2 linked regions of the Anolis sagrei genome follow. Each later gene encodes a partner of the first gene's protein in a complex. Links are inferred from orthologs where the notes say so. Each region holds a gene or a part of one and is shown in the gene's direction. Other genes may lie near its edges.

Evidence for each region. Proteins that work in one complex are often made in the same cells at the same time.
Region 2: the proteins of TNNI3 (region 1) and TNNC1 are in contact, whole or in part, in a crystal structure (PDB 4Y99), measured with the Homo sapiens proteins. The link is inferred for Anolis sagrei from reciprocal best matches to the Homo sapiens genes TNNI3 and TNNC1. Residues at the interface, in NP_000354.4 of Homo sapiens: Glu32, Pro33, His34, Ala35, Lys36, Lys37, Lys38, Ser39, Lys40, Ile41, Ser42, Ala43, Ser44, Arg45, Lys46, Leu47, Gln48, Leu49, Lys50, Thr51, Leu52, Leu53, Leu54, Ile56, Ala57, Lys58, Glu60, Leu61, Glu64, Arg136; in NP_003271.1 of Homo sapiens: Asp3, Ile4, Lys6, Ala7, Glu10, Gln11, Thr13, Glu15, Gln16, Glu19, Phe20, Ala22, Ala23, Ile26, Phe27, Val44, Met45, Leu48, Gln50, Glu59, Met60, Glu63, Glu66, Asp67, Gly68, Asp73, Asp75, Glu76, Phe77, Met81.

What each region holds. Positions count from the first base shown.
Region 1 is NC_090026.1:21,100,085-21,110,379, forward strand, and holds the start of TNNI3 (troponin I, cardiac muscle), read left to right. Parts: upstream 1-5,304; coding exon 5,305-5,315; intron 5,316-7,288; coding exon 7,289-7,301; intron 7,302-10,295. UniProt on the Homo sapiens protein: Troponin I is the inhibitory subunit of troponin, the thin filament regulatory complex which confers calcium-sensitivity to striated muscle actomyosin ATPase activity.
Region 2 is NC_090022.1:68,380,100-68,390,330, forward strand, and holds the start of TNNC1 (troponin C, slow skeletal and cardiac muscles), read left to right. Parts: upstream 1-5,494; 5' UTR 5,495-5,639; coding exon 5,640-5,663; intron 5,664-10,231. Other genes in the region: NISCH (nischarin), read right to left, coding at 1,191-1,277. UniProt on the Homo sapiens protein: Troponin is the central regulatory protein of striated muscle contraction. Tn consists of three components: Tn-I which is the inhibitor of actomyosin ATPase, Tn-T which contains the binding site for tropomyosin and Tn-C.

The sequences.
Region 1 (10,295 bases):
AGGACTTTGTTTTCTTTTCAATGACATTTTTGTAGAGTGTTAGAAACACGTATAGACCCTGTAAAAATCTGTTTGCATACAATATAAAGCCTATGTAAATGCTACTGGAACATGGTAAAAGCAAAGAAATAATACGTCCTCATTCAATAGTGATTCATTTATATGCTTCCTTCCAAAGTATCTGAAAGCCCGGAAGATCCAGAGGAATGTCTTCTATATCACTTAATCCTTTACTGGTTGAACTGCAGCTGGTCAGACCCTCATTTCCCTGCACAGGATAAAAAGTGATTGTATTCAGACTATATTCATAAGAGCTGTTATTTCATTTTAGCCCTTACACTTATGCTATTATAATACTTTTTAAAAGTAGAATAATAGAATCAGAGTTGGAAGAGACCTCGTGGGTCATCTACTCCAACCCCATTCTGCCAAGAAGCAGGGAAATCGCATTCACAGCACCCCCAACAGATGGCCATCTAGCCTCTGTTTAAAAGCCTCCAAAGAAGGCGCCTCCACCACACTCTGAGGCAGAGAGTTCCACTGCTGAACAGCTCTCATGGTTAAGAAGTTCTTCCTAATGTTCAGGTGGAATCTCCTTTCCTGTAATTTGAAACCATTGTTCAGCGTCCTGGTCTCCAGGGCAGCAGAAAGCAAGCTCCCCCCCCCCTCCCCGCTTGTTATGACTTCCCCTCACATATTTATACATGGCCCTCATCATGTCTCCTCTCAGCCTTCTCTTCTTCAGTGCAGCTCTTTAAGCCACTCCTCATAGGGCTTGTTCTCCAGACCCTTGATCATTTTAGTCTCCCTCCTCTGAACACATCCCAGCTTGTCAGCATCTCCCTACAATTGCCCAGAACTGGACAGAGTATTCCAGGTGTGGTCTGACCAAGGCAGAATAGAGGGGGAGCGTGACTTCCCTAGATCTAGACACTATGCTCCTATTATTCATGCCAAAATTCCATTGGCTTTTTAAGCCGCCACATGACTGTTTATATATCTATGGAATGTCCAGGGTGGGAGAAAGAACTCTTGTCTGTTTGAGGCAAGTGCGAATATTACAATTCTCACTTACCTCAAACAGACAAGAGTTGTTTCTCCCACCCTGCTGTAAATGCGGAATGTCCAGGGCGATAGAAAGATCTCTTGTCTGTTTGAGGCAGGTATGAATTTTGCCTTTGTCCACCTTGATTAGCACTGAACGGTCTTGCAGGTTCAAAGCTGGGCTGGTTGCTGCCTGGAGGATCCTTTGTTGGGAGGTGTTAGCTGGCCCTGATTGTTTCCTGTCAGGAATTCCCCTGTTATTTGCATGTTCCCCTTTATTTACTGTCCTGATATTAGAATTTTTTTTAATACTGGTATCCAGATTTTGTTCATTTTTATAGTTTCCTCCTTTCTGTTGAAATTGTCCACAGGTTTGTGAATTTCAGTGGCTTCTCTGTAAAAATGAAAATGACCATAGTCTAGCTACCAGTATTAAGATGGCTCCTCTGTGTAATCTGACATGGTAGGTGTTAGATCCCAAAAAAGGATTCCCCAGAAAACAACCAGCCTGTCTTTGAAGCTGTAGGTCCATTCAATGCTAATCAAGCTGGCCAATGGCAGCATTCACACTTGCCTCAAGCAGACAAGAGTTCTTTCTCCCACCCTGGACATAATTCCACAGATATATAAACCTCATTTGCCTAGTTTCCAAAAGACTTCACAACCTGTGAGGATGCCTATCATAGATATGGGTGAAACGTCAGGAATGAATGCTTCTGGAACATGGCTATATAGCCCAGAAAACTCACAGAAGCACAGTGATTCTGGCCATGAAAACCTTCGACAACACATTAAAAGCCATAGTTTAAAATGGACTAGGCAAACCTTCCGGAAGAGATAGAAATACGATTTTCTGCTGTTTACATGCAAAAATAAATGAGAATTTTTGCACAGAATGAGTCTGAAGAGTGTGAAAATGTGCATCAGACCAAATCCTCACTTTTTCTTGATACTTGAGAAACAAGATTTGACGGTTTTCCCAAACATTTTGGAATGTTTGTCTTGCAATTCCTATCAATGTCCCACTTGAGTGTTGTAAACCCATTTCACTTGGAAGGGAAAAAGATTCTGTTGAGTGACTCTCTCTTGCCCTTCTCCTTCCATGAGACTTGGAGCCCTTCCACACAGCCATATAACCCAGAATATCAAGGCAGAATACCCGACAATATCCGCTTTGAACTGGTTTTTCTGAGTCCACACTGCCATATCTTCCAGTTCAAAGCAGATAATGTGGGGTTTTATTCAGCTGTGTGGAAGGGGCCTTGATCTCTTTGAGGAAGCCCAAAAGCAGGTCCACCACCGACTCCTCCTGCTGTATTTCTGCCTCTTCTTGGCAGCAGATGTCTCCAGAAATGGTGCTGAAGGATCGGTTTCACACCTTACGCTAAGAATAAAGCCGTCCCTTCACAGCTTTAAGAGGCGAGGAAGGGAAGAAAGGCGGCCGCCTCTGTATTTTCGCCTCGAGACTATGAAATGTCTCTTCCTTCCCCCTCTCCAGCCCCTTCCTATAATTTGAGCCTGAGGAAATCATTTCTTTGAAAGCATTTATATTAATCTCTACAGGGTTTGGGAAATGCAGCCCTTAATTGTGTTAAAAATAGTTGCATTTCTGCACATTGGCCGAGGAAGAATCCCTCTGTTTGGCTTCTTCTGAAAGGTGAATGAGAGCAAAAGGCAGGAATGGCTGAATGGGCTCCTTCCTTCCTTCCCACCTGCCTCCATTTCCGTGGCCTCCCCGAGGAATGGCGCAGGCCCCATTTTAGAAATGATAAGGCAGCATAAATTTAGCTCCTCTGAAGAGCTGCTGCAAGATAACCGTTGATCCTGGGAACAACTCAAAATGATTGCTTGGCTTTTATTTTGGTCAGCGGAGGGGACAAAGCAAAACAAGATGAAACCACATTTACCTACTCAACCCCTCACACACTGAAATGAAGTCTATTTTCTGTCTGATCTTTTTGAGGGGATATAATTATGATTATTGATTACCGGAGGGGAAAGCTTATATATGCATATCTCTGTTTCTGTGTTTTGTCTGCTGCGTTTTGTGCATTTTAAAATATAGGGTAATTCAGCCCCGCTGGGCTCCATACATTAAGTAGAGCCGGTTCTCTGTATCCATGGGTTCTGCCTCCACAGATTCAACCCAACACAACTCGAATATCTGTCTGTCTGTCTATCTATCTATCTATCTATCTATCTATCTATCTATCTATCTATCTATCTAAAGAGTTACAAGCTCTTTCTGTCATGTATTAGAGTAGTTTGCTTGTATTTTACAAGGTAAAGGTAAATAATAATAATAATAATCCTTTATTTATACCCCGCTACCATCTCCCGAAGGACTCGGTGCGGCTTACAAGAGGTCAAGCCCAAATACATCAGTAAAAAAGCAACAACAACAATACAGACAATAAATAAACTCATAAACAAAGCAATAAACAGTAACAATAACACCACAACGCATTAAAAAGCCATGGCAGGCCAATTGTAATAATTAAAATTTTAAAAATGCTGGGCATGACAAGGTGTCATATAACTAGGATAGGTATTTGAAGAGAGATGGAGTGAGCAGACAATCCTAGATCATTAGTAAAGTGCGATTAGGGACATGTTGCTTGGGTTTCCTTATTCTGGGAAGGCACACTGGAACAATCATGTTTTCAGGCTCCTCTTAAAGACTGCCAAAGTTGGGGCATGCCTAATGTCCTTGGGAGCGAGTTCCAGAGTCGAGGGGTCACCACCAAGAAGGCCCTATCCCTCGTCCCCACCAATCGTGCTTGCGATGGAGGTGGGATCGTGAGTAGGGCCTCTCCAGATGAATGAAGAGATCGTGTGGGTTTGTACACAGAGATGCGGTCACGCAGGTAGGTGGGTCCCAAACTGTTTAGGGCTTTGTAAGTAAGCACCTGCACCTTGAATTGGGACCGGAAAATGAACGGCAGCCAATGGAGCTCCTTAAACAGGAGGGTTGACCTCTCCCTGTAAGGAGCACCAGTTAACAACCTGGCCGCCGCCTGTTGGACCAGTTGAAATTTCCGGGCCGTTTTCAAGGGTAGCCCCACGTAGAGTGCATTAGAGTAATCCAATCTGGTTTTCCCCTGAGAACAAGCCCTATGAGGAGTGGCTTAAAGAGCTGGGCATGTTTAGCCTGAGGAAGAGAAGGCTGAGAGGAGACATGATGAGAGCCATGTATAAATATGTGAGGGGAAAACATAGGGTGGAGGGAGCAACTTGTTTTCTTCTGCCCTGGAAGTAGCAGCCAAAAGTAAAAGGACCAAGGCAGTGACATCTCTAGCTCATCCCTTATTTGGGTATCAGCCAGCACGTCAATGACTTAAATCAAGAAATAGTTTTCTAAGATCTACAGAGACACTAGCTGGAACACCCCAGCAAGCGAGAGTCCAAAAGTGGCAGGCTCAAACCCAGAACCTCAATCAATGGCTGAAACCCCCTGGGCACACAGAAGACTGGGAAACTTGGAAGGCGCTGAACAGACTGCACTCTGGCACCATGAAATGCAGAGCCAATCTTAAGAAATGGGGCTACAAAGTGGAATCCACGACATGCGAGTGTGGAGAAGAGCAAACTACAGACCACCTGCTGCAATGCACCCTGAGCCCTGCCACATGCACAATGGAGGACCTCCTTGTGGCAACACCAGAGGCACTCTAAGTGGCCAGATACTAGTCAAAGGACATTTAACCAACTACCAAGCTTGCAAACTTTGTGTTTTGTCTTTTTGTCTGTTTGTTTTGTTAAAAATGTAATACAACTGTCTGGTTGCTCCTGACACGATAAATAAATAAATAAATTCTGCCCTGGAGACTAGGATGTGGAACAATGGCTTCAAACTATAGCAAAGGAGATTCCACCTGAATATGAGGAAGAACTTCCTAAATGTGAGAGCCGTTCAGCAGTGGAACTCTCTGCCCTGGTGGAGGCTCCTTCTTTGGAGGCTTTTAAACAGAGGCTAGATGGCCATCTGTCAGGGGTACTTTGAATGCAATTTTCCTGTTTCTTGGCAGAGGGTTCGACTGGATGGCCCATGAGGCCTCTTCCAATTTGATGATTCTGTGCTTGTTTGCCATTTGATTACACATCAGCATGCTAGAAATGAATGTGTCTAATCTTTGAGGAAAAGTGAAACAGTGTGTGTGTGTGTGTGTGTGTGTGTGTGTGTGTGTAAGTGGGTGCACGTAGATATTAATGATGTATTATTTTTCCTTCCTCAGTGTATCTGAAGTTTGATTTCTGAAAATGTCTGAAGAGTGAGTAGTAGTCTTTTTTTAATTTGCTTTATTTTTTCTGATATAGCAAGCCAAGGTGGCTCACAACAAACAGGTCACAATATTGATTAAAAACAGAGCCAATGAATTAAAATATAAATATCAAAATTAAAAAAACAAATATTTTGTGTCATAAAGCATAAATATTAAAATACAATAAATATACAATTAAAACTACATTTTAAAATATCACCATTAATCATAGTAGGGGTGAGTGGGTGTTTTGCTACTTAATATCTGGTTTCTTTACAAGCAGCATTGCAGAGAGTAGAAGTATGGAAATTTATTCAGAATCTTCCACATGTATGATAATTGACATAGATTCACTGGGTTGCTGTGAGTTTTCCAGGGTATATGGCCATGTTCCAGAAACATTCTCTCCTGACGTTTTGCCCACGTCTATGTTGAATTATTTCAGCCAGAGAAGTCAGCAATTAACCAACCTGAACACAGCATAGTATTTGAGGACATAGAAATGCTGGGCCACTCTAACAACCATCATGTCAGACTACACAGAGAAGCCACTGAAATCCACAAGCATGGGGACAATTTCAACAGAAAGGAGGAAACCATGATAATGAACAAAATCTGGCTACCAGTCGTTTAAAAAGCTCTAAAATCAGGACAGTAAATAAAGAGTAACACTCAAAAAAGCAGGGAAATCCAGACTGGAAACAATCAGGGCCAGCTAACACCTCCCAATAAAGGATTCCCCCAGCAGGAAGCAACCAGTCTTCGAAGCTGCACGGCTATTCCATACTAATCAATCTGACCAATTGCAACATTCACACTTGCCTCAAGCAGACAGGAATTCCTTCTCCCTCCCTAGACATTATTCCACAGATATATAAACCCCACTTGCCTAGTTTCCAACAGACCTCACAACCTCTGAGGATGCCTGCTATAGATATGGGTGAAACATCAGGAGAGAATGCTTCTGGAACATGTCCATACAGCCCGAAAAACTCACAGCTACCTAGTGATTCTGGCCATGAAAGCCTTCGACAACACATTGATATAGATTCAGATTTCATATGCTTCTGGAAGGTAATTTGTGCCTCTTGAGTTGGGAGGAGGACTGAGGAAATCAAAATTTCTTGAGGAATGAGTGATCCTTTTGAGCATTTTTATCTGGAATTCAAAAATATTCTAAAATCCAAAATTGTTGGCAAATGTCTGAGACAGTTACACCTTGGTTTTCTTATGGTTTAGTATATGCACCCTTTGTGTCATGTACAAAGTATTGTATGGCCTTACCTTCATGCTATGTGTACAAAGTCCATATGAAGCAGGAATTAATTTTGGGTTTAGACTTGGGCCCTGTCTCAAAGATATCACATTATGTATTTGTACAGTATATACAAATAGTAGTAGTAGTAGCAGCAGTAGTAATATTTTTATTTTTGTGTTGTCGAAATGACCGGAATCCCTGGGTTGTTGTGGGGTTTTTTCGGGCTATATGGCCATGTTCTAGAGTAGTGGTTCTCACCCTGTGGGTCCCCAGATGTTTTGGCCTTCAACAAGGAGCCTGTGTTGTCCATAGACACCTCCTGATTGTGTGGCCAGCATGCCTACATAGAGTGTCTTTTTGCCTTTCCCAGCAAGGCAGTACCTATTGGTCTACTCACATTTGCATGTTTTTGAGGTTGGCAGGAGCTAGGGCTAACAGTGGGAGCTCACCTCATCCTACAGATTTGAAATGCCTACCTTCGGGTCAGCAGTTCAACAGCACAAGGGTTTAACCCATTGTGTCACCCACAGCCCCCTATGCTGTACATGTATTCCAAAAATCGAAAACAATCAAAAACACTTCTGGTCCTAAGAATTTCAGATAAGGGATACTTAACCTGTGTTGAGTGAAAATTGAAGCCCTGGGAATGAAAACACATTAAGCAGTTTTCAGATCTATAAATGTGATTTATTCTGACTGATTGGGTTTCGTCTGTCTTTTACAGGGAAGAAATCACTGTGAGTACCCACAACAAAGCATCTTCAAGTTGGATGAACAATGACCATTCATCTTTTATTTTGTGCTGTGTTCTTTTCCTCTTTCAAATGAGAGAAACTCTTGTTTTTGTTAGTTTTCTGCCACATGTGGTAACTACAATGTAAAGGAATTGGTGGGACTGATTCCTGAATAAATATGCTAAATGAACGAACCAAAGCCATTCCCATAGAGCAAATGTGCTCATTCTACTGCTACTTGTAAGCTCACAGACCCACAAATCCAAGATAAGACTTATAGCTGATACATCTATGGTTTTGTGTCTGTCCAAATCTCCCTTTTATCTCTGGAATCCTATAATATCTGTTAATTAATGTAAATTAACGTATCACTGGAATCCTATCTCACCTTTTAATTAATTTAGCTTTGAGTAGTAGAAGTACTATGAAATCCTCTGAGCGAATTGCTAAGATCATGGTGTGTATCAGAACACCCCCAAGAGAGCCTAATGTGCATTGGGACCAATGCACATCAGTGTTCAATGTGCATCAATGCACTCTGTGCATCAGTGTGCAATATGCATTGGGCATTTTGCTGGCTCTGCCATGTAGTGATGCAACAACAGCCCTCAGATCAATACGGACTTTATAAAATTGACCTATTCTAGTTCATGTGTGTGTGTGTGTGTGTGTGTGTATGTGTGTGTGTATGTGTGATATCTCTCCTATAGAATTATATCTAATATTTTTAACAACATATTTGTATTTAATTTAAATGTGAAAGAATCTCTCTACTGGATTTTGCACTTTAGCTTTTGGGAACATGAGTTCCCAAAGTGTTTGCAAGGGATCACCTGTGGTAGTTTTTTAGAACTCGTCTCCTTTACAAATTTTGAAATGATTTGTTTTTAGACATAACTTCCAGAAGTTCTTAATTTCTAAACAAAGTCAAGAATCAAGCTATTTTAGGATTATATTTCTCCCCCTCAAATTATTATTATTATTATTATTATTATTATTATTATATATTAATTATAATATAATAATAATAACAACAATAATAATAACAACAACAACAATATGAGGATTTAAAGATCAAACTGCAAACACTCTGGCACAAACCAGTAAAGGTGGTCCCAGTGGTGATCGGCACACTGGGTGCAGTGCCTAAAGACCTTGGCCTGCACTTAAACACAATCAGTGCTGACCAGATTACAATCTGCCAGCTGCAAAAGGCCACCTTACTGGGATCTGTACACATTATTCACCGATACATCACACAGTCCTAGACACCTGGGAAGTGTCCGACGTGTGATCCAATACAACAGCCAGCAGAGTGATCTTGTTTGCTGTGGAGTCTTGTTGTGTTTCTAATAATAATAATAATTATTATTATTATTAATAATAATAATATTCCGCTCCATTTTCCCAAGGGGATTACGGTATACACATATATAGGCAAACATTCAATGCCTTGTATACAGTGAACAATGAAATACAATACAAAAACAAAGACAAAGATTTCCCTTTCCATCTCCGATGTCTAGAAGCGATTCTCAACTCTGGCCATGGGGAGGAGCTTTTGTTGCACGTTTCCATGCTGAGAAGCCTGTTGTGCGTAGACCTTCCTGGTCGTGATTGCCGGCATGGCTGCATGGGCATCTTTTACCTTCCCACCAAGGTGGTACCTATTAATCTACTCACATTACGTGTTTTCAAACTGCTAGGTTGGCAGGAGCTAGGGCTAATGGCAGGGGCTCACCCCAGCTTCGAACTGCCTTCTGGTCAGCGGTTTTTCTGCAGCTAGCGGGTTACCCCACTGTGCTACCACAGCTGTACCGGTAGGCTGTTAGGAATTGTGGGAGTTGAAGTCCAAAAGACCTGGAGGGCCAAAGCTTACCCATGCCTGAGTTAACACAAGCAAAAGCAAACTGGTGTAGCCTTCCTTAATGTCTGCCATCTTGACCACAATCCGGTGTGGCTATCTTGACCACACTCTGATGTTTCTTGGCTATACATATTGAGCCTTTTATCTGTGAATTATTAGGGAATATGAAATTACAGACAAGATGGACTATAAATCCCATAATTTTGGACAGTATAGCCTATGAACATAGATGATGGGAATACTAAAGAATATCTGGGAGCTCAAGCCTGGGAAGCATTGAATTAGGGCACAGTATACTAGTTGTCAAGCCTGAAGGCACCAGGCCCTGTCTGAGCTAATCAAGGCAGAGTCAGGCTTAATTCATACTTAAGATAAGGGACTGCCAAGAAATACAAGGTATTGTAGGGTATGATGGCAATGGCAAACTACTGTTGAGTATCCCTTAACAAAGAAACATTCATGAAATTCATGGTGGTTGCCACAAGACTGCAGAAAGCTTGATGACACTCCCACTGACTCTCTTTCTAAGAAAAATGACCAAAGGAAAACCTTACCCCACCCAAATAAAACTGGTGACATCTAGTGGGTGAACTATAAATGACAGAAAGACAAATGAAGTCCTGGATCTGACTAGGAATTTATATTACAATACTTATTTACTTCCTTACTTAGGCAATCCCTTGTAGCCTGAGAATGGTGGCCTTCCAAGTGTATTGTCTTGGCGTTGGGTCCATGGGTAGCTGTGGGGCCCTATTCTTGATCCGCATGTTCTCCCATAGTGAGGAAATCGGTTTCCAGGTGGAAGGCGGTCCCGGTCAGGGCTGGCTTGATGTGCCTTCCTCTTGTCAAGTTTCTCCCTTTCGCCCGCCATCCATGCCTTTTGAAATTCTGCGGCACTGCTGGTCACAGCTGGCCTCCAGTTAGAGCACTCAAGGGCCAGGGCTTCCCATTTCTTGGTGTCTATGCCAGTCTTTAAGGTTGGCTTTGAGCCCATCTTTAAATCTCTTTTTCTATCCACCAACATTTTCCTGTACTTGAGTTGGGAGTATAGTATCTGCTTTGGGAGATGGTGATCATCATTCAGACAATGTGGCCAATCCAGCAGAGTTAATGGCGTAGGAGCATCGCTT
Region 2 (10,231 bases), on another chromosome or scaffold:
TGTGGACTCAGATAACCCAGTTCAAATCAGATATTGTGGAATTTTCTGTCTTGATATTTTGGGATACAGGGCTGTGTGCAAGGACCCCTCAGTTCAAAGCAGATAGTGTGGCATTTTCTGCCTTGATATTCGAAGGGCCCTTCCACACAGCCCTGCATCCCAGAATATCAAGGCAGAAAATCCCACATTACCCGAGTGTGGACTCAGATAACCCAGTTCAAAACAGATATTGTGGGATTTTCTGCCTTTATATTCTGGGACATAGGACTGTGTGGAAGGGCCCTGAGTTATATGGCTGTGTGGAAGGGCCTTAGTCTCTGGAGCAGCAGAAAACAAGCTTTTCCACCCTTTAAAGTGACATCCTTTCAAATATTTAAACATTGTGATCACGTCCCCTCTCAGTCTTCTTTCTCCAGGTTAAAGATACCCAGCTTCCTAAGCCATTCCTCATAGGCAATGGTTTCCAGTCTGTTGGTCATCCTCCTCTGGTCAGATTCCAGCTTGCCAATGTCATTTTTGTATTATGGTGCCTAGAACTTGCCTATTTGAATTCTATTCTTTGGTGGAAAAGAGGACAAAAGTGTCATAGTGATGACGGCACTGATGATGAAAAGCAAAAGAAGAGGGATAGAAGCAAAGGAAAGGTAAGGAGGTTGGGGAAGAGAGGCAAAGATAGTAAAGAATGGGCAAACTTCGGTCCTCTAGGTGTTTTGGACTTCAACTCCCAGCATTCCTAACAGCCTCAGGCCCCTTCCTAAGGGCCTAAGGCTGTTAGGAATGCTGGGAGTTGAAGTCCAAAACACCTGGAGGACCGAAGTTTGCCCATGCCTGATTCATAACCTCTTGTTTCATGGAATAATCCCTCCCAGTTCTCCAAGCCTTGTCTTCTCCAAGCTAAACACAGCCAGCTCCCTCAGCAGTTCCTGGTAGGGCTTGGCTTCCCAACATTAGCCCTGTCAATACCTTTCTTGGACTGAGGTGCCCAGAACTAGACACAGCCTGATCCCAGCTGAGGTCTGACCCAAGCAGAAAGGAGTGGGACTCTGACTTCCTTGGGGATGGAGCACCTCACAGAAAGTGATGGAAGCAGCAGTGGAAGTGCCTCCCCTCCTCGGGGGAACTCCCTCCCTCCCTCCCTCCCTCCCTCCCTCAGGAAAGCCCCTCCGCGGCCTCCTCCTCCTCCTCCTCACCGTGTAGTTCTCCACCAGCTCGGAGCCGAGGACGCGGGCGACTTTGGGGGGTTCCTCGCCTTCCTCGCCGGCCCCCATCACCTCCATGGCGACCACCACAGCTGGGAAGAGGAGGAAAGGCCGCTTGGAAGGGGAGGTGGTGTGGGAAGCTCTCACTCGGCCGCTCTTGTTGTTGTTGTTGTTGTTGTGGCGGCCCTTGCGCCGCCTCCCTCAGCAGTGGCCTCTGCCAGCTCAGCCAGGGCTGTCACCGCCGCCATCTTTGATTCCCCCCTCCCCCTCACGCCCAGTAGAGTCGCTGAGAGAAAGGACAAGCCCCGCCCTCGGTCGCTAACACTCCTTTTCTGCGCTTGCGCAGAAGGAGGAGGAAACGCGAAAACCTCGGCCTCGAGGGGGCGGGGCTGAGCTTTGGAGGCGGGGCTAAACGAACACAGGATGGGCCATACCATCGGAATTGGGAAGGGGTATTTTTTTATTATTACTTATGGGTCGTGACCGCCCATTCTTATGCAGGGCTCGCTTAACGTTTACGGCGAACCCCCCTCTCAACAGATGGAAGCGGCACCTGGAAAATAAACAATGTGGAGAGGGAGCTTTTGGAAAATCTTGCTCCGCCCACAGCAAGTCCTTGAGTGACAAAGGCTGCTCCTACTTCACTGTAGAATTGACGCAGTTTGAGACCACTTTCATAGAATCATAGAATCAAAGAGTTGGAAGAGACCTCATGGGCCATCCAGTCCAACCCCCTGCCAAGAAGCAGGAATATTGCATTCAAAGTACCCCTGACAGATGGCCATCTAGCCTCTGTTTAAAAACCTCCAAAGATGGAGCCTCCACCACACGCCAGGGCAGAGAGTTCCACTGCTGAACAGCTCTCACAGTCAGGAAGTTCTTCCTCATGTTCAGATGGAATCTCCTTTCTTGTAGTTTGAAGCCATTGTTCCATTGTGTCCTAGTCTCCAAGGAAGCAGAAAACAAGCTTGCTTCCTCCTACCTGTGGCTTCCTCTCACATATTTATACATGGCTATCATATCTCCTCTCAGCCTTCTCTTATTTAGGGTAAACATGCCCAGCTCCTTAAGCCACTCCTCATAGGGCATGTTCTCCAGACGCTTGATCATTTTAGTCGCCGTCCTCTGGACACATTCCAGCTTGTCATTAACTGCCATGGCTCAATCCTAGGGAATCCTGGGGGTGGGAATTGATCTTGAGAACAACAAAACATCACTCAGAAGACAAGGGAAACAGGGCCAGTTAACTCCTCCCAACAAAGGATTCCCCCAGGCAGGAGGCAGCTAGGCTTTGAAGCTGCAAGGCCATTTGAAAGGAGTGCAAAGAAAGGCTTAGTACATTTAACTCAAATTTGTTATTTATTTATTTATTTATTGTGTCATCAGCAACCAGACATTTGTATTACATTTTTTAACAAAAACAAACAAACAGACAAAACACAGAATTAGCAAGGTTTGGTATTTGATTAAATGTCCTTTGACCAGCAGCTGGTCACTTGGAGTGCCTCTGGTGTTGCCGCAAGGAAGTCCTCCATTGTGCATTGGGGGACATGAGAGAAGCCTCCTCGCAGGATTGCAAGACATCCGGGTGTCCCCTGGGCAATGTCTTCGTAGACGGCTGATTCTCTCGCTCCAGAAGCGACTTGCAACATACTTGAATTTGTTAAAGGCAGAATAAACTTCAAATCGCTGCCATCATTGAAAGTACTATGCTACCTTCGTGACCGTACGTCGTTCCAAGTACCAACCCGGGCCCTTCGTTCCTCAGGGGAGGTCCTCCTTTCGCCTCTACCAATCTCACAAGCTCGTCTTGTGGGCACAAGGGAGAGAGCCTTCTCTTCTGTGGCCCCCTGACTTTGGAACTCTTTACCTGGGGAGATCAGGAAAGCCCCTTCACCGGAAACATTTAAAAAGAACCTCAAAACCTGGCTTTTGCACTGTGCCTTTGGCGAATAGGTGCACAGCATTATATTTTACACCTCAACGTTTTTGGCTAATGGAGTTTGTGACCTCCAAATAGGATGTTCTGTCCCACAGCTCTGTGTTTTATGAGTTCCATTTAAATGTCCTGCTCCTATTTTATCTCATCATAGTTGGTTAATGGTTTGTTATTTGGAAAATGTGACCTGTCCATTGTCATCTCTATCGTGATTGTGTCTATTGGACTGTTTATTATTATTATTATTAATGTCATTTTGATAATGTTGTTGTTGTCTGTTGTATATGCTTTGGTTTTATTGCTGTATTATGTTGTCTGGGCTTGGCCCCATGTAAGCCGCTCCGAGTCCCCATCGGGGAGATGGTGGCGGGGTAGAAATAAAGATTATTATTATTATTATTATTATTATTATTATTATGCTGTTTGCCAGAACATTAACTTTTGATTCTTGCATATAATGTTTTGTTTTCTCAGGGAAGAAGCTCCTGCTGTTGTTATCCAGGATTTTTTTTCAAGTCAGGAGCAACTTGAGAAACTGCAAGTTGCTTCTGGTGTGAGCGAACTGGCCATCTGCAAGGACATTGCCCAGGGGACACCCAGATGTTTCTCCCATGTCCCCACATGAGGGGCTGGAGCTGACAGACAGGAGCACTCCACGCTGCCTGGATTTGAACCTCTAACCTTTTGGTCAGTAGTCCTGTCGGCACAAGGGTTTAACTCATTGTTCCACTGGGGGCTCTGTTATCCAGGAGAAAACAGGGCTAATATATTTCCTCCAGTATTTCAACTCTCCTATACATCTTTGGTATAATATTTAAGCTATATAGGTTATTGTACAGCACAGTAGCAACTATCTCTAGCACCAATCTACTACCACTATCCAGACCATTCTGTGATCCTTTTTTTGTTAGTGTATGAATATCAGAATGCATTTAAAATGGATTATCCTACCCAAAAAGTAAGAAAATCCGCAATGTAGCCCCTGAAGGGATATTTATTTTATTTTAGGTGCAGAATGTATCATACGAGTTCTCTATATCACATTAGTGCAAATGCAAGGTGAGGAAAAACCTATTTGGAGCAGAAAGAGAGTTAACATTTTAAAAATGATTTATTATTGGTCTTAAGTTAGTCCTCCCTGTTTGAAGAAAAGAGAAGAATTGCTCAATATAAATAAACAAGGGAAAAAATTCACAATGAATGCTGGCAAGAAAATTTTTGCAGTTCTAAAAAATGGGGTAATTTCCCCAATATCTGGCATGTACAAGGCTAATTTTAAATACACATACATATTTGACACATAAATACCTGACTTCATTATAATTTGGCCAGCTTTCCTAAGTTGCTTGCAACTCAGTTGGACAGAGGAGGGAGCTCTGATCAATGGAGAGAGATAAATCCTGTTTTGTGATATGGAACATACTTTCAGTAGGAATGCTTCTGCCTGAATGATGCAAAAGTGTAGGTCAGTGCAGTTGTTTTGTCCAGGTTAGAACATCAACCGCATCACAATGATGCTTGTAGGAAAAAAGATAGTAAGAATAAGTTCAGAAATTTATACAATCCAATGTGAAGACATCATTTCAAGACGTATTTTTGGAAACATTTCCAGGCTTGTGCTCATCTCCCTGAAGAATTAGATGTTACAATGAGTTGATGAATACGTCAAGCAAACTGCTAAAAGCAGCCTGAGGAATATCTATTGAATGGGGGATTCTGCCTCTCAGGGCCCTTTCACATAAATATATTAACCCAGAATATCAAGGCAGAAAATCCCACAATATCTGCTTTGAACTGGGTTATCTGAGTTCACACTACCATATATTCCAGTTCAAAGCAGATAATCTGGGATTTTATTCAGCTGTGTGGAGGGTCCTTGGCTACTACATGGTTTGAAGCATAGGCCCATGTTCCTGCCGTAAGGGTCTGTGGTTCTCATGCAGAATCTTGGAAAGTGTTTCTTAAAAAGGACGGTTCCTTCAGTAGGATCTTTTTATATTCCCGGTGGTCAAAAATTAGTTGTGCATTCTTCACCATCTGCCCTGGTTTTGCTATGACTTGGTCATGTGGATGGATGATGGGAACAACAGAACTCAGGCAGCAGAGGTGGACCATGAGATCATGTATCATCTGAATCCTGGAATAAGCATCAATGAAGGATCAGGTTTTCCTTCAGTTCTGTGTCTACTGAAGTGAAAACAGAGCTATCAGTGGAATTGGGAACTGGCTTTAGAAATGTCAGCTGTAACAAACTTCACATACCTCCCCTGAAGACAGGGTGAAAAGTCATGCCTGGAATGGATAGCATGGCCTTTTGTGGGTGTCTCTAAGCTGTGCGGAGCAGTGATCAGCCCTTCTTGATGGACACATTTAGGGCTGACAGCCTGCTATATAAGCAGAGCTTCTAAGGAGAGAAAGCTGGCAGAGACTGGGAATTTGTCTCTGTACAGTTTGCCATCTAAGCCCAGCTCCTGAGTCTTCCTGACCAACAATAAATAATTATGGATGATATTTATAAAGCAGCTGTAAGTAAGATTTTCATATGTAATAATACATTGGGACTTATCTCTAGCTAAGCATGTTTAGGACTGCATTTTGCCTCCTGACAAGAGAACAGGGTGATAATGTTCAGTCTGATGTCACAAATATTATGCAGTGATGATCACGTATTATGTGGTTAAATGTAGTAACAGAACTTTTGACAAGTGTTTTATTTGGTGCAGAGGTTTCTTATACAGCATAGCATATAAATGGGTTGCATGATTACTTTAATCAAATCTACTGTCTCAAGTTTTTTAAAGTTCAGGTTTGTTCTATAGCCCAATCCTGTACAAGGACAGATGTGCTGGAGCTTATTATTTTGAAGGGCTTAAGCCTGCTTTAATTCTGCATAGGATTTAGCTTTTAAATGTACTATATTGCATGTGAATTATTGCAGCCATTACATTAAATATTTGACAGCACATCATCTGGGGAGCTGGGGGAGCTCCTGTTTGTCAGCTCCCGCTTCTCATGCGGGGACATGAGGGAAGCCTACCATAGGATGCTAACACATCCGGGTGTCCCCTGAGCAACGTCCTTGCAGGTGGCCAATTCTCTCACACCAGAAGTGACTTGCAGTTCCCAAGTTGCTCCTGACACGGAAAAAAAAACTTTGTAAAAAGCCAATTATAATTTAATGTGTTATAAAGTCACATTTGAAGTATATGTATACTCAAAGGGAAAGGACTTTAAATCCTAATTGCTAGAAGTTGAAATATAAACCAAACTGAGTCTAGTTTTAAAAGTAGGTAAGGAGTCACTAGAGAAATGTATGGAAGTAATTAAAAAAAAAACCCTCATTTCATTGTGAATGGAAGAACAATCCAAGCTATTTTTAGAGACTAATCGAGTTTGGGTTCTTCGGTGGTTAATCCTGTTATTGAGAAACCTTAGTAAAACAGATTGAAGAAGAATGATTCCTGCATATCAGAGTGAGGGATAAGCTCCCAGAGTGGATTTTAACATCTGGTATGGCTTGTAAATAATCCACCAAAGCAAAGTTGTATTTGGGCTATGGACACACAGTAGTTTAAATAGTGGAAGATTACATTTCAAGGAATATCTGAGATAACACATTTAAACTCACAAATTGCCTGATATTGATTTACATACATTGAGATCCCATAGTGGGGGTGGGTTAGGGGGTAGATAGTAGAGTGAGGTTAGAATCCATATCTCCTCCCTGCATCAGTGGCCCAATCCACAATAGGCTATTAGTTGCTGACTTGCAAATAGAAATATGATGGTCCTGGCTGTCTGAAAAACCATGCTGGAGTCTCGTCTACACTGCCCTATAATGCAGTTTGAAATTGTATTATATGATCAGTGTGGACTCATATAATGCAATTTTCCCATATTTTATAGATTTTTTTTAAAAAAAAACTTACAATGCAATTGTGTTTTATCACAATCTGTCTAAATGTGTTTGCATGTACGAAAGGTTTTTCAAAAGTTGCTTCTCTTCTTTCTTTATGTCTTCACTACTTTTTATTATTATTCACTGCTCTCAAATTGCACCCCAGGCTACTACCATGCCCATGGCTTTTTCCAGCCCTGCGCCCCCTCCCCCTTTATAGGAAAAAATCACCCACTGGAGGAATCACTGCTCTAGAGCGCACCATTATACTTTGTAAATTATTTTACTGTATGTTTATTCCATATTTTCCCTAAGGAGTTGAGGGTACTTCATTTAACCCTCAAAGGTCTTTGTCACATAGGTTTAGTCCCCTTTCTCACAGCTGTATAAAATCCATATTGAACTAGATTATATGGCAATGTGGACTCAGATAACACAGTTCAAAGCAGATATTGTCGATTATCTGCTTTGGTATTCTGGGTTATATGACTGTGTGAAAGGGCTCTCAGCTGACTGGCTTAGCATGCCAAAGGTCACCTAAAAAAGAGGTTTATGGCTAAAGGACGATTTCAAACCAGATTTCTCCTTTCCAAGTCAATGTTGTTAGTTGGGTTGCTGTGAGCTTTCTGGTCTGTATGGCCATGTTCCAGAAGCATTCTCTTCTGGCATTTTGCCCACATCTATGACAGGCATCCTCAGAGGTTGTGAGGTCTGTTGGAAATAGGCAAGAAACACTCAGGGTGAGCTAACACCTCCCAATAAAGGATTCCCCCAGGCAGGATGCAGCCAGATTTTGAAGCTGCAAGGTCATTCAGTGCTAATTAATGTTGCCAACTGCAACATTCTGCCTGAAACAGACAAGAGTTCCTTCTCCCACCCTGGACATTCCACAGATATATAAATCTCATTTGTCCTAGTTTCCAACAGACCTCACAACCTCTGGAGATGCCTACCACAGATGTGGGTGAAATGTCAGGAGAAAATGCTTCTGGAACATGGCCATATAGCCTGGAAAACTCAAAGCAATTCAGCGTTTCCGGCCATGAAAGCCTTCGACAACACAATGTTGTTAGTGTTTTCACATAATTTCTGACTTATGTTGATCCAACCATAGAGTTTTCATGTCAGAATTTATATTCAGAGGAGGTTTGCCTTTGCCTTCTTCTAAGGCTGAGAGGGTATGACTTGCCCTTCATGGCTGAGCTGAGATTTTAACCCTGGTCTCCAGCATCATAGTCCAACACTTCAGTCATTATACCACGCTAGATCCCAGACTTGTCAATGCCTCTGACACCTTACCCACAAAAGAAAGAACATTATGTTATGCATGACTTTTATTGCAGAGTTGATTGCACATTTAAATGTGTAATGAATAATATACCCAATCATTTCTAAATACAACCATTCATTTGGACCAGAGGAATCCAGTTGATTTCTCACCTTGCCCACTGACATCTTATACACAGAGCTAAGTTTAGAACAGTGTCCAGATGCTAGTACGGAGAACATGGCCAGGGATGTGTGTCTAGATAAAAGTCTCCAGGGATAAATACCCATGTCAATCATGTTGGGGGAACAATTGGGCATGTTATCTTTCTTACCCTTACTCGCACCCCAGCCACTCACTAGTGCATAAAAATAGCCAGCATGCCAAAATAGTCAAGTTATGTGCGACACAAACAGAAGTGACAAGAAGCATTTGTTCACTGCCTTCAGAGTTTCCAGCTATCCTGGATTGCCAAAGGCTTGTTTTTTTTGTTTTGTTTTCTGCTATTACAATGAAAGAGCATCTCACAGCTGCTCCACTTCCATCACAGAGGCTTAGATGAATGGATTCAGGTTTCACTACAAAATTTTGAGTGGCGGTTTTGCTGCTATTGTTATCTGTTTCCAGTATAGACAGGCTCTTCCTCTTTTTCTGTCATTATCCTCTGAAGGTGCCCGATCTTTTGAAATGGATTGTTAACATGCTAGCTTGGCAAGACTGATGACTTCCATAAGGCTGTTCTGGCTCCACAAACAACTTGACGGGGGCAAAAGATTACACTAGGGTTATCTCTGAGTGCAGCTTATCCTGAAGAGACGATCAGAACAGAACACACACCAGTGTCTCTACTGATCAGACATAAGGAACAGCAGGATCATGAAATGCCTTTCATTCCCAAATAGGAAAACACGAATTCTAGAGTTGCCATTTCTAGGATTTTGAGTCAGCTACAACCAAAGGTTTGTACAGAACACAAGTCATATGGTTATTTTCCAGACATGGGACAATTTAGAATGGCATTCAGTATTAATATTATACCTTTCAACTGCCCTGATTTGGCAGGCATGGTCCTTGAGAAAGTCCTACTTTCCCAGCTGTTTTTAAAATATCCCAGTAAACCTCATGTCCGCCCACCTTCCGCTTTTGTTTTTAACTTACTCCAATGTTGCAAAATGAATTTGAAATACAAAGTATTAACTCATCAAGAGGGAGGGGGAAACGGGGGTGGGGGTGGGATATGTCTCTGAAACTGTTTACATAAATTGAGGGATTTCTCTGCTTTAAAATAGTTGTTTCATGTGCCTTCCTCTTTAGCGTTTGTCTCTTTCTTGCCTTCTCACACCATTTTAACCATACTCTGATTTGGCTTAGCCATCTCTTCTGCTTTTCATTTGTGAAATGTTGGCAGGCATGGAAGAGTCAAATAGCATTGGTTCAATGAAGAAACTGTGGCTGAAGTTGTATCAGAATAGGTACAGCATGAACCGCACCTATACATGTAGAACATGTTTCTGGCCTTCCATGGAAACTGTGGATAATAGCATGTCCCATTGAAAGGAACAACTTCCGGTAGGAGCAGACTATAAAATTGCATTGGTGGATCTCAGAACATATATTTTTTTGTGAAACTGCAGGCATTGGTCCTGCAGATACAGGGCTTGTATTGTACCAAAGAAGGACTTATAGTAGGAATGGGAAATACTGTATTATATGAAGTAGAAAAAAAGATGGCTGCATTTAGCACTGAGGAAGTAGAGTCTAAGAATAGAAAATTAGAGAAGGGGACAATATAGTCACTAGACAGTGAGACATGAATATTTCAGGAGCAGAATGTAAATAAGGAAAATTTCACCAAGCCAGACAAGGGCTCATCTCACCTGGCATTATTTTGCCCTTTGGAAAGCCCTCCAAATATGAAGACAACAGTT